Linked DNA regions of Saccharomyces cerevisiae S288C. The protein of the gene in region 2 interacts with the protein of the main gene of each other region in a biochemical or structural test. Each region holds a gene or a part of one and is shown on either strand. Other genes may lie near its edges.

Region 1 (3,426 bases), on a different chromosome or scaffold from region 2:
AGCAAAATGGTGTCGTTAGACGATATACTAGGTATCGTGTATGTTACGTCATGGTCGATATCGATGTATCCACCGATAATCACCAATTGGCGCCATAAGTCAGCGAGCGCGATATCGATGGATTTTGTCATGTTAAATACGGCAGGTTACTCTTACCTGGTCATATCCATATTTTTGCAATTGTACTGCTGGAAAATGACGGGTGATGAGTCTGACTTGGGCAGGCCCAAGTTGACGCAATTTGATTTCTGGTATTGCCTGCATGGGTGCTTGATGAATGTTGTCTTATTGACCCAGGTGGTAGCTGGAGCGAGAATCTGGCGATTTCCAGGTAAAGGTCACCGCAAGATGAATCCATGGTACCTAAGGATTTTACTCGCATCACTGGCCATTTTTTCACTGCTAACCGTACAATTTATGTACTCCAACTACTGGTACGATTGGCATAACTCAAGAACTCTGGCGTATTGCAACAATTTGTTTTTACTCAAAATATCGATGTCACTAATCAAGTACATCCCACAAGTGACGCATAACTCGACAAGAAAATCTATGGATTGTTTCCCCATTCAGGGTGTGTTTCTAGATGTCACTGGCGGTATCGCCTCGCTGCTCCAATTGATTTGGCAGTTGTCTAACGATCAAGGTTTCAGTCTGGATACGTTCGTGACAAATTTTGGAAAAGTGGGACTGTCAATGGTAACTTTAATATTCAACTTCATCTTTATCATGCAGTGGTTTGTATATCGATCTCGAGGCCATGATCTGGCGTCAGAGTACCCGCTGTAGCACACAAGGAGAAATCTGCATAATTACGCATATATATATATATATATATATACATAAATATACATAAATATATGTATGTATGTATGTATGTGTGTATGTATGTATGTACACACATGCATGGTTTAAATAGACAAACCTTGGTGGAATTTATACTTTTTTTTGGTGACGAGGACGTCCGTAAGAGCATCGTCGTCAACAAACCATGATACACGACCAGCAGCACCTTCGTTGACAATACTGCTAGGTAGGCCCTTTTCAGGCCTTTCCATAATGGTCTTGATGATGGGCGCCTTGGTTGCACCTTCGACAACGAAAGTAACCCTGTGAGAATGGCAGATTACAGGTATAGTCAGCGAAATTCTGGTCGAGGGCCCACTAGGAGCGTTCTCCACGGGCACCACCCATGCAAGTTTCTCACGTAGATTGTCCTGGAAGTTAGGGAAGAGTGATGCGATATGACCATCGGGGGCACAACCAAGCAGGAACAAGTCGAACATCGGAAGTTTGACGGAATCTCTACCGGCAAACCCGCGGATTAGCACCTTTTCATAGTTATCAGCGCATTCTTGCGGGTCGTCAATCAATGACTCGTCAATGTGGTACACCTTCGGAGTTCCATACTTCGCCGTGTCTATCAGGTCCAAAATCTTCCTTTTGGCGCATCCATAATTGCTTTCATTCGAGCTGAAGGGTACAAGTCTCTCGTCTGCAAAGTAAATGTCCCAGTCTCCCCACCGTACATCGTCTCGTTTTAGCAGACCTTCGTGTAGCACTTCGATCAATGACCCACCGGAGAGAGCAATCTTGAACCGTTTCTCCTTTTTGGGCTTACTGCTACCACTGCCACTACCACTGCTACCACTTTTCCCTTCCGCGGCAGATGCTGTGCTTTTGCAAGAGGCCTCTCTCGTCATATCCAGTGCATTCATGCTGATGTTGGGAACAGAGTGTTTCCTCTCGTTCTTTGGAGCCAATGCACCGTCTTGCGCGTGGACTACATGGTCAGCTACGGCCTCTGCCACGTCTGAAAACTCGTGAAACGCGAATATCTTGGGTACCGTCGTAGTCATATTGTCTTGCTGCAAATTGCTTTCTGTTCTAGTCCATACCTACACTGGATATGACGATGATGATGCCACTATTATCATTGAAATTTGTTAGGAAAACCCCTGTAGCGCCCGCCCTATTTAAACCTAATTTCCCCAGGATGTCTAATCACATTTTCTTCATTTTTTGGAAACTAGACCTTAACATATTTCGTATTAACCCTATGTCTCGAATTGAAAATTTCGCGGGTCTTTTCTCTTGCCTTGGTACCTTATGTAAAAAAGCGATGCCAGGAACAATAGGATAAAAATAGCAGCAACAACATACGATAAGAATTGAGGATGCTAAGCTAATGTTGTTTTACTTAGGGTGGCTATAAAAGGTAGTTCCTTGTAGGTGAAAATGATGATGGATATACTGAATACACAGCAACAAAAAGCGGCTGAAGGCGGGAGAGTTCTGGCTCCTCATACCATCTCAAGTAAGCTCGTGAAGAGATTATCAAGTCATTCCAGCCATAAACTATCAAGATCTGATTTGAAAGCATTGGGTGGCTCGGAAACAATAAGCGACGGCCCCAGTCAGCTGACTTTTAAGGACCGATACGTTTTCAATGAATCGCTATACTTGAAAAAGCTAAAAAAGACCGCTTTAGATGACTACTACACGAGGGGCATAAAACTCACTAACCGCTACGAGGAAGACGACGGTGATGACGAAATTATTCGGTTGTCTAATGGCGACAGAATTGATGAAGACCTGCACTCAGGTGTCAAGTTTTTCTCCACTACACCTTATTGCAGGAAAATGAGGTCAGACAGTGATGAACTAGCTTGGAATGAAATTGCGACCGAACGGTTCAAATGGCAGTCAATGCTGGCCAGAGTGCTGAAGGGAGATATTGTTAAAGGTGAAAAGACGAGGATTGCTAACCAAGTCAAGAAACCAGGGTTAAATAAGGAGCTCTCAGATGAGATATGGCTCGAATTGAAGGCATGGCTGAATGGGAGGACCATGCAAGAGATGGAACAGTCGCTTACATATTTAAGAGATAGTTCAGATTCCGTTTTTGAAGAGATAATGAAGTTTCAAATTCCACAGGGCAAGATATTGAGCCTGGATGCACTGGAGGCCATCTTACAAGACCTCATGAACAGATATCACAGCGTTGTCTCTTATTGGCCTAACTTGAAAAAAATGTATAAGGATAAACCAATCACCAATACTGCAGAATTTACCGCTAGAATAGACGTAATGAATTCTTGGCTGAACTTTAAAACGAACTTAACGTTGAGGAGGCAAGAGTTGGACGACTGGATAAACCGTTTCTCACCGATAAGTAGTTCGGATAATTGCCAAGAGGATTTTGATGGTGTGCCCCAATGGAACTGCAAAATGAAGATTCTTGCAGAACAATTGATGAAGGAAAAGAACATCGAGTCTATATTCCAAAAAAAAATTTTCTATCCGCTATCACCTTGGATGTTCAAACTGAAACTACATTTTATAGTCTACAGAGAAACTTTGACAAAGATGAACATAAAATATCCTTATGAAAGGTTAAGATCACTACTGGCGTTCCCCGTCTAT
Region 2 (6,332 bases):
GGCCTGGTGATAATAGATATGAACAACTTCGCTATCGTGTATGCCAATATCACTTTTCTTTTCTACTACTTACTCGACTTTACTCTACCTTTTCATGTTTGTAGATTTCTGTTTCATTCTAGTCTCGAGAATGGCCCACAGCACGGCCAACAGGGGGCTGCGACAATTTCGCGTAGAGCCCATTGTGAAAAAAGCCACCCAAGCTATTATTGTACACAGAAGAATATGGAAGCAAATCGCCAGTGCTACGTGAATGGGACAAAAACATGATGCCTTGTTTAGTATTAGCATTTTAGATACGCCTTTTCAACTTCAAATTGTGCTATAGATAGGAAGATCTCTTTATTACGCAATATATGTTGTGTGTATTTAGGATAAGACTATATCGTCCAACCATACACCGCGTTTCATCTTGTCTTTTTTGCAGCTAGTAAGAATTAAGCATCAAGAATTGTTCAGTTTGCGATGAGTAATGAAATATATTTAAAGAGGACTAATGTTGTTAAAGTAAGCAGTGCTTTTTTCACGCAGTGTATTTTTAGAATAAGTGGCCATGGGTTATATTTTGACAGGATATTCTAGCCGTCATGATAAGAGAAAGAAACATGCACTTCCTTTGCATCGGTATGCATCGTCTTCGATAAACTTGCAGCACCATGTGCATCTCTTAGAGACCCGGGTTTCATCCAAGAGGCCAATATCGGAAGATCAAAGGACTATCAGGCTTCCTGCGAAGAAACTTAGGCATCATCAAAAGCTAACTTTGCAAGATTTACCTGTAGAGATTATTCAACATATTTTCGTTTTCACAAAGGGTGAACCGTCGATGGTCACCTTGAACAGGTTCTTCTATAGTTGCTTGAAGCCATCTTTTTCATTATTATCGAAGATCATGTGGGAAAAATATCTTTTCGATCCCCTGGAGTTTGGCGTAAGTAATATAAAAGCTTATTCAAGAAATATTGTGATCCCTACATTATTTGAGCATGAAACTTTTTTTAGACTACTACTAGATCATCATCCTATCCTGTTGAAAAATATTTCTCATTTTCTTCCCAGAAAGCACTATCAAGATATGCAGAATGGCGATTTTGATACATCTAAAGAGCTAGACTTGTGTTCAATGAACACTGAAGATACATCGAAAGAAGACTTCCCTAAAAACTTTTACAACAATATGCATATTTTTTTAACACGTAGGGAATGTGTGAAGTCTCTAGGTAATCATTTTACTTTGAAGAATCCATATGATGTGATATCCCCTTTTATAGAATGGTTTTTTCAAGGTATTGATATGCAAGGAACTGACCTAAGCCCTAAGTTTACCTTTGTTTCTCTATTTGAATCAATAGATTTAATCCTATACGTCTCTGGATCTACAGTGCAAAAACTAGCGTCTATTGAACCCCTTACGACTGTAATATTTTTATTATATTTCACGTATGCTGATTCACTAGGGAGTCTGAACTTTGAGTTTTTTTTGCAGAATAGATCAAGATTACAGCTCATAGAGAAATTTATCCTGAAATATTATTACAATCCATCATTGACAGAAAACGAACTTTTATCTGATAGCACTATATGGGACCTGTTAAGGCGGGTGTCTGATTTAAAACTCATAGATTTGGTCGTTAAATGCGGCGGAAGGCCTCAATACGGGGTTATGTTTGCATAATTAAATTACTTAGTATTAAGATTCTGCCCCTTGCATGCATGCACAATATGTGCTTGCCAATTCATTTATGTACAAAAGATGGTGTTATATAAGGAATATATTTTGTTTTCTTTGATATTTTCCCTTTCTCATATTCTTGCGGTTTTTCTGCTTTCATTACGTCGCTAATTAGTTTGTCAAAAATTATAACACCGTTAGTTTCCAAGCAATAATTATATAAGGTCCCGTTAAAAAATATCGATAATCAAAAGGTTTTCAAGTAGCAAGCAATAAATAGCTTTCCGAAGACTAAACAGGCTTTCATAGTGTCTCAGTAAGCGTATGGATGGACAACGCAGTTGATGACAGAGAAACACAAAACTATGGGGAAATTTAAGGTTATTGTATTGGCAGGTACTGCAGGTACAGGAAAATCAACCATTGCAGGTGAACTAATCCATGAATTTAAAGATATATACCCGGATTTGAAATTCATCGAAGGTGATGATTTACACCCGCCTGCCAACGTAGAAAAGATGACAAGAGGGATTCCATTAAATGACGACGACCGTTGGGACTGGTTGAAAAAAGTTGCCGTAGAATCTACAAAAGCTGCAGCAAGCACTAAGGAGCATTTGTCAATTGTTGCTTGCTCGAGCTTGAAGAAGAAATACAGAGATTTGATTAGGCACACATGCCCTGAATCGGAGTTCCATTTTATCTTTTTGTATGCAAGTAAAATAGAAGTTCTGAAAAGGCTCAAAACAAGGAAGGGTCATTTCATGAAAGCTGATATGATGGAGTCTCAATTCAGGGATCTGGAGTTACCAGACATCAACGACGAAACTGACTGTGACATTGTTCCCTTAGATTTCAAAACGTTTTATCAAATTGAAAAAGATGTTATACAGGTGGTAAAAAGTAAAGTTTTGAATATTGAGTAAATAACGCTTGGATAAAACGAAGTAAATATTAGAAACAGTTATATAGAAATTAAATACGGTGACCTGGAAAATTAACAAAGACAGAACAAATGTGAATGAATAATAATAGCAACTTCCAAAAAAAAAAAAGGGGTTACAGGGATCAACAAAAAAAAGCAAGAAAAAAAATGAATAAAGGGAATACCATAAAAACAAATAACATTAAACGGATGAGGGGGTCATAACGGAAGTGTGAATATAACTACAACTTGCTTTGGCAAGTAATATTTTCGGGAAAACAGATGATCATCAAGAGAAGGTCTATCAATTGTGGGCTTAAAACAGATGTGTAGTACACTTTTGTGCCAAAAAGGAGGGGGTTAGTTAGTTAAAGAAGAGGAACTCATGCGAAGTTCGTTGAATTTTTTTTCGAACAAGGAAAATTTGTTGGAAATCTTAGAACATTCGTTATCGGACTCGCAAGAAGTGCTTGTGAACGAAGAATGCAATCCAGTGTCTGTGTCTAGCGTTCCGAAACTGCCACTGCGACTGCCATTATCATCGTCTATCCCTTCTTTGATTCCATCTTCTTCCTCACTTGAAGATGTATAAGATAAATTCTTGGCAGCTTTACTATCGTGCATGTACACGTAGGATTTTGGAGACAAATTCTCATTCGTGTTATCGACGGGGCTAACGAACTTTTCATAAACAGACTTGGAAAGAGGCGGCACTTTTGATAACGGGCCTTCATTGGTGAAGCTTGTAATAGAACTAACTTCTTTCATCAACTCTTGCAAGCTCATTCTATTCTTCGGATTCACTTGTAAAATCTTAGATAATAATGAGTAAAAGTCATCGGAAAGCGGTAGGATTTGCTTTAGTATATTGGGATCCTTAGTGAAATAATAGTAGGTATTATCCTCGGTTTTGTCAGCCTTCAGCCAGGGATTTCTGATGCATGTCAAATTGATAAGGATGATACCTAATGACCACAAATCGCCATTACATGAGGGACAAACCTTACCCAACTTATGTCCCCCACTTTTAGAGCTGGAAACTCTCCCATCAAATGAGATTCTTTCAGGGGGCATATAATACGAGCTACCAATGCAAACATTTGGCTTTATATATGTGGAAGTAGTGGATAGACCAAAATCGCATAGGAAAACGTTATCTTCTGTATCCAGTAGCAAGTTTTCAGGCTTGATGTCACAGTGGTAGATGCCGTGCTCATGGCAATAATTAAGAGCAGAACAGATCTGTAGAAAAACCTTTTTTACTAGCAGTCCATTAGTGACAAAATGTCTGTTATCTACAATAGACGTGAATAGGTCTGTTGGGTAATAATCCATGACAATGAACGTGCAGACTGCAGATTGTAGCACCTCATGTATGGTGACAATGTTCTTATGATGGTGGACTCTTAGGTGTAGCGAAATCTCTTTATAATGGGGCAGCTTTTTAAAATCTTCTTCTGACATATTCTCAATTGATTCTAGATCTATAGAGGGCACCCTGACAACGTTTTTCGATTCCTTGAACAGTTTAGCGAGCTTCTTTTGCAATTTCACGCTATTTTTGTGTATTTTATCATTGCCCATATCAGCCTCCTTGCTAACACCGTAACTTTGAACAACCGCTTTGATAGCGTATTGTCTATCGGTACGAATATCTAAGGCACGGTAAACCAGACCGTACGCGCCTTCGCCAATTTGAGAAGTTATTAAGTAGTTATTAATTCTGCAATTATGGAACATCATCATTACTTTTTTCTTTTTTTTTTTTTTTTCTTTCTCTTATTTTATTTTACTTTAGTATTTCACCTTAGTATATTATCGTACAGTAAATGTTAAGAACTTTTGTAAACGTAACTCATAAAACAAAAAAACAATGGTAGCGCCAACACCAGCAACAAAAAGAGGTAAACAAAAATATAATAGCAGTGACACAAATGTAAAAACGCTGTAAAGCTAATAAATCAAGTCTTTTCTTATAGCACTTGTAAGTATGAATAAATATCAGTGAGTCTTAAGGTGGCAACGGTAAGGGAGGGAGAGAACCAAAGCAGTTTTAAAATTAAAAATAAAAATAAAGGTTTAATAGCACTATAATATGGCACACTAAATTTAATTGAGGTACGTTTTAGGCTCCAGTATAAACAAAAGGGCACCAACGTCAACATGTATAAATAATAATAAATAAATCGGCGAAAACGTTCCAACGTGCGGCCGCTGCTTGGCAAATTAACTGGACGGGGTTAAGTGGCAAGCCGCGCGAATTAGCGGACGCGGACCTAGATACACAAGCGAGGACTGCTAAGTTAGGCCATGTTGGCGGGGGTAGTGGCGGTGGTGGTGGCGGCATCCCTTCCCCACGTTTTGGTCCCTTTAACGTAACTGGTAAAAGTAGGATCGACTACCCCTTTTGGGTTACACTTTGGTATCAGTCATCCATCAGCGGAAAAAATGGACAGCTTTGACTATCCCTATTGTGTACCCGGTTCCGAACTGGTGTTTCCGTACTCACGTGCCGAAAGCTGCGTAATAGTGCATTGGCAGGATATGATGTGATGGATTGTATGGTGTTTCCAGGGCAGGAAGGGAGTAAGAAAAAGGAAGCAAGATGACGATATAGGCGGCGCATTTTCTATCGCTGGTGTTGGGATGCAGAGGATCCGTCGCAGTGTGGTCTTTTTTCGTACGTAGTAGTAAAAGCTATCCCTATTTATGAAGGAGGAGACGGAGAGCGGCAACTTCTTCTTAGTTCTAGAAGTACGTAGTATTTATTTTCTTGGTGTGAATGCGTTTATCTTCCGATGGCGCGTGCGTCTATTGTAGGTTTTCTACCATTTTTTTGACTTTTTCGTCGAACAGGTTAGATCTTATAGGCATTTCCATTGAGTAAGATGGGTCTTTCATGACGTAGTCACTATACAAACAGTAAACCTTCCTTAGGAAGTTGTCGGCTATTTGGATGGCCAAATTGGATGTACTCTTGGGTCGGTCAGGCTTGTCGGTGGTGGCTATAGTTGGCTGTCTCTGGGGCATGACGCTGGAGCTGATAGCGACAAACTTCAGGCCGGTTAGGGTCTGATATATGAACATCGTGAACTGATCCGTGCATAGTTGTCTCAATCCGCTCTTGTTCCAGTTCGTAAATGGTTCTTTGAAAAAATCATCTCCTTTAAAACTGCCCAGTTTTTCATTATTAGTGTGTTTGTTGTTATTGCCACCTCCATTTCTTGTATCGCTCCTATTGCTGGACATGCCCACGTAAGGTATATATGGGATGGTATTTTCGATGTTCGTTTGTTGAGTTAGCTGTAATGCCTTCGGAGTCAGCTGGCTCGCGATGGCGAATACACCGTGCAGTGTACTAGCAAGAATTAAGTATTCATTGCTGTTCAATTTCTGTTCGTCGTTGGTAAAATTCCGCTGATAGATTAGTCCGCCTGATTTGTTTATTACAAGTATTGTTTCGATGGCCATTTCAATTTTTCCCGTTTAAATCCAACACTAAAATTGCACTTTTGAACTTATGCAAAGGCAGATTCCTTTTTTTAGTTTCACTCTTTTTCTTCTCTTCGCACCGCCCAACTCCTGCCGAGGAGGCATAAACTCCAACATATGATGGAAAAATAAAAGAATGTGTAGCATATTATTGAAAGAATCTTCTATAGGCCTAAATGTACATAAATTATAAAACAACATTTTAAAGCAGAACCAGTAGTGGAAATTAAAAAGAAAAATAAA
Region 3 (4,013 bases), on a different chromosome or scaffold from region 2:
ATCACTGAATTGTGACGCTCAGATAAGATAAACATCCAAAGCGCATACTGATGTCACGCACTGACACAAGTGAGAAGAGAAAAGAAGATTTTATATATGTGAGTTTGAATATATACCTATGCGTACGTTTATATATAATGCATTTGATTTCTTCGAACACGCCAAAAAGTCATTGTTCAGTCAGATTTCTGTGTTTCTTCCTTTCAGCACTAGCAATTACCTCAAATCGAAATTTCTTTAGACCTGAAAAAATGCCAACAAGAATATTCTGTAATGACACATTGATGGTATCGCCCAAAACTGAAAAATTTCTGGAACGGTTTACCAACCAAAAATTGGCTAAGCTGGAGGTGAGGTAGATGGTGCTTTTTCTGCGAACATTGCAAGCATATAAATAGAGAAAAGAACTCCTACTACAGTTTGAGTGGTCGAACGGAAGGTCGTTTTTAACAGTCTCTCATCTATAAAGACTGTACGCATATTTGGAACTAACTGCTTAATTATGTGAACGCTTCTCTGATATCCATCGTCTATGTGCTTCTATCCATAAAAAGGCGAGAAAAGAGAGAATGACATTGCTCAGTGGCGGATGCGGGATGGGAATCTTATATTAGTTACTACTAAAATTCAAATGCAAATTTGAGGTGAAATACTTGAACTCTCAATTCTTGAGGACGAACAAAACAAAAACTTTCTAGAGCGGGAAGAGCTTGCAATACAATTAACTGTAAAACTTCTCTCTCTTCACAATAAATGTGACGATATTTCCGGATCATTTTGTTTAAAGCCAAAAGGAAGGTCAGGTTGGTGACGCTCCGTTAGATATAGATGGAACAAAAGAAAAATAGTGCACTTCTGGAACGTTTGAAAAAGGATTTTTTTAATATTGTAAAAAATGTCAAACTGTGATGCTATGGTCTCAAAGAGGTGTTTCTATTCTTTGATTTTTTTCGGTTGTCCTGATCTTCAAGGCTTAACCTAATAGCCTCTCTAACCATTTGATCTTCAAGTTCGTTTATTGTCGGTTCAGGAGATCTTGAAGCTGACGTACTTTCATCATGAATAGGGGTTATACTGTGACTTGTATTTCTCCTTCTGCTATGGCTTGGATCGATCAACCTATTACTTATATGTATAGCGGTGGCATTCGCGGATCTCCTCATCAACCTTGCCCTTTCTTTGTTCAATTTAATCTCCCAATCAGGACGAATGGTATCCGAAGTAATGGCTGATATGTTTGGCTGACCGCCATCAGCTCTTGATATGGCGGCGTCCTTATACACGTATGAGTCGGCTGGCATACCCCCTATACCAGTTTCACGATTTGTGGGTGGTTGATAAGTGATGCTAAAACTAGCAGTTGCACAGTAGGGGCAATTTGCTGGCTCAGAGGTAAGAAGATTTGGGTCCTTTTCACTGTCATTAGTTTGTGGTTCAGTTGGGTCTACTTCGTCATGAGGGAAGTGAGGATCAGCTCTCTTAATCTGTACAAAACACTCGGTACAAATAGGCTGTTGACAACATTTGGAATAGTTGAAAGGCCCTGGAAAGTATAAAAAACAAATAGGGCATTCCGACCCATTTTTGTAAAGAGTATACTTCAAATCGTCACTTGGTAAATGGTAATTTTTCCTTGGCTGGCTACTGGTATTATCTTCAACATTGCTGGACTTGCTGCCAATTCTTTTCATTTCCAATTTCCTCTCCAAAAACGTCTCATTTTCATTTTCTTGCCATAAAATTCTTTTCTTATACAATCTTGCTCTAAAAATCTTTGCGTGCATTCTTCTCTGTTCCTTCTTGGATAAAGATTTGTCTATTAATTCATTAAATGTTGACTTCCTTAAATTGCCTATCGGTACGTCTTCGAATTCTTCCAAATTTTCATCGAACGTGTCATGCAAGGGCAATCCGTCAACAATTTTTATCAACTCATCTCTAGTCCAACTTTCATCAAAATCCTGCAAAGGAGTGTAAAACGGCGCTAACTTTCTTTTGATTATTAAATTTTTAACGACAGTAGCATCATAGTCCAACTTTTCAAAAGAATAACAGCCAAATGGGGCCAAAAACCCCCCATCTACAGTTTCGCTACACCTCACAACCAATTGTTTAGCATGTGCCTCTTTAGCAAGCTCTTTTTCCCGTGACGTCTTTCTTCTACTAGTGCTGGATAGATGAGAACCAGTTTTTGTACGAGCATTATTCCCATTTAAAATATTATTGACCAAAGACGTCGTGCGTCTCGTTCTCACCCTTGAAGAGGCTTCTTCATCATATTGTTTGATGACAGAATTCGATGATGTAGTATTATATGAGGAATCTGGCCTGACATCATTAAAACTATCTTCCTGGTCTATTTTCCCTGGAACATTACCCATGGTTTGTTTGCTACTCTGGGTTCGGTTTATACTAGCTAGATTATTTGGTTCTAAGGTGCTTCTTCGTTTACTAAAACACCCACTACATCAGCTCGATGATGAACCTTCACTTGCCCCTTTATACTCTAAAAACCTTGTCGACCCATTTAAGGAAGTTGTTACCCGGTTAAAGTAAAGGTGTCATTAAAATAGTTTCGTACTGGCAAAGAATACGGCTTTTATACATAATTCGAAGTGAAATGGCATAAAAAAGTTACAATTTATTTTGGCTTTACCTTATTTTTTTCATAATTTGTATTCATTATAACAGTAATGATAACATAATACTGTTACTACTAATAATGATAAGAATATGATGGTAATACAAAAACAATACTCATAATAATAACAGTAATAATAGTACTAAAAAAAGACATACGTATATATGTTCCTTCCTTCTCCCATTATTCTTGCCTGGGCTCCCTCCGGTGCTATCATTACTTAGACTTCGGATATAGCTTTTTTTTTACAGATGATAGTTCATCGGGAGATAGATGGCCCAATTCGACATTTTCATCGAACTCTAGCAATTTTAAATCAGTTGTTATTTGATTTATTTTACCGTCATCAAGTTTTAGTTCATCAAAATATGGACTACACAGGCATTGTAGAGCATTAAATCTTTCTAGTGGATCATATTTCAAAACGTCAGCTAGAAATTCCACAGTTTGATCATCTTCTTTCTTGAAAACACGTGACAATGGTATTGGTTTAATTTGCGGGAACTTATGCTCCATATAATTGGGATTCATAGAGCAAATTTCTTGCTTTGATGGAGTACCTAAGATTTTAATGATTTCCACTAGTTGATCAATACCACTTTCTCCAGGGAACATTGGTTGGCCCAATAGCAGTTCCGCCATTACGCAGCCAGAGGACCATATGTCGATTTGGTTGGTATAATTTGTTGCGCCGAAGATTAGCTCTGGTGCTCTATAGTACCGTGAACAAATATAGGAAACGTTAGGTTCAGTAGGTTTCAATTGCTTTGCACTGCCGAAATCGCACAGTTTTAAGGACCAGGTCTCAGGATCTACTAATAAATTTTGAGGCTTAATGTCTCTATGACAGACGTTCGCGAAATGATGGAGGTAATTCAATGACTTGAACAATTGAAACATGTAGTACTTTATTTCCAATCTTGACATCGGCGTACGTTGATGGACGAAATGACGTAACCTCTGGTACAAAGATTGTGGCATGTATTCTAGTATCAAATTTAAATAAATCTCATCTTGGGAGTCCCTTTCATAGAAAAAGTACTTCAGATCTATTATATTTATGTGACTCAGCATTTTCATTATTTCCAGCTCTCTGTTCTTGAATCGTTTATCTTGCAGGACTTTCTTAATAGCAACTTTTTCATTAGTTTCTTGAATAACAGTGGCAAATACCACACCAAACGAACCATGCCCAACTACTTCGGTGGTAGGGAAAGATATCTGCACCGGATCATTCGGGTCTATCGTAGGTGGAGGATGGGCGTAGTAAACCTGTTTTGACACTATGTTATTACTGAGATTCGGAGAATTATTGCTTTGAATATTCATCCTGCGCGAGTTCTAGCGTTGCGTGATTAGTGTTGCCGTGTTG

The links.
Region 1: of the proteins of VHS1 (region 2) and SOL2, one has a biochemical effect on the other in vitro, tested with the Saccharomyces cerevisiae proteins (2 studies listed by BioGRID).
Region 3: of the proteins of VHS1 (region 2) and SIP5, one has a biochemical effect on the other in vitro, tested with the Saccharomyces cerevisiae proteins (2 studies listed by BioGRID).

The regions. Positions count from the first base shown.
Region 1 is NC_001135.5:245,396-248,821, reverse strand, and holds SOL2 (Sol2p), read right to left. Parts: upstream 1,860-3,426; coding exon 912-1,859; downstream 1-911. Other genes in the region: cystinosin-like protein ERS1, read left to right, coding at 7-789; mitogen-activated protein kinase kinase kinase SSK22, read left to right, coding at 2,239-3,426. UniProt on the Saccharomyces cerevisiae protein: May be involved in regulation of tRNA subcellular distribution.
Region 2 is NC_001136.10:954,024-960,355, reverse strand, and holds VHS1 (putative serine/threonine protein kinase VHS1), read right to left. Parts: upstream 4,344-6,332; coding exon 2,958-4,343; downstream 1-2,957. Other genes in the region: YDR249C (uncharacterized protein), read left to right, coding at 554-1,675; YDR248C (gluconokinase), read left to right, coding at 2,017-2,598; YDR246W-A (uncharacterized protein), read right to left, coding at 5,023-5,223; TRAPP subunit TRS23, read right to left, coding at 5,409-6,068. UniProt on the Saccharomyces cerevisiae protein: Probable serine/threonine protein kinase involved in the G1-S transition.
Region 3 is NC_001145.3:546,082-550,094, reverse strand, and holds SIP5 (Sip5p), read right to left. Parts: upstream 2,382-4,013; coding exon 912-2,381; downstream 1-911. Other genes in the region: YMR141C (uncharacterized protein), read left to right, coding at 51-359; serine/threonine protein kinase RIM11, read right to left, coding at 2,858-3,970. UniProt on the Saccharomyces cerevisiae protein: May negatively regulate the SNF1 kinase by promoting the interaction of the REG1/GLC7 phosphatase complex with the kinase. Deletion of SIP5 promotes resistance to artemisinin, which is probably an indirect effect of an action on the electron transport chain.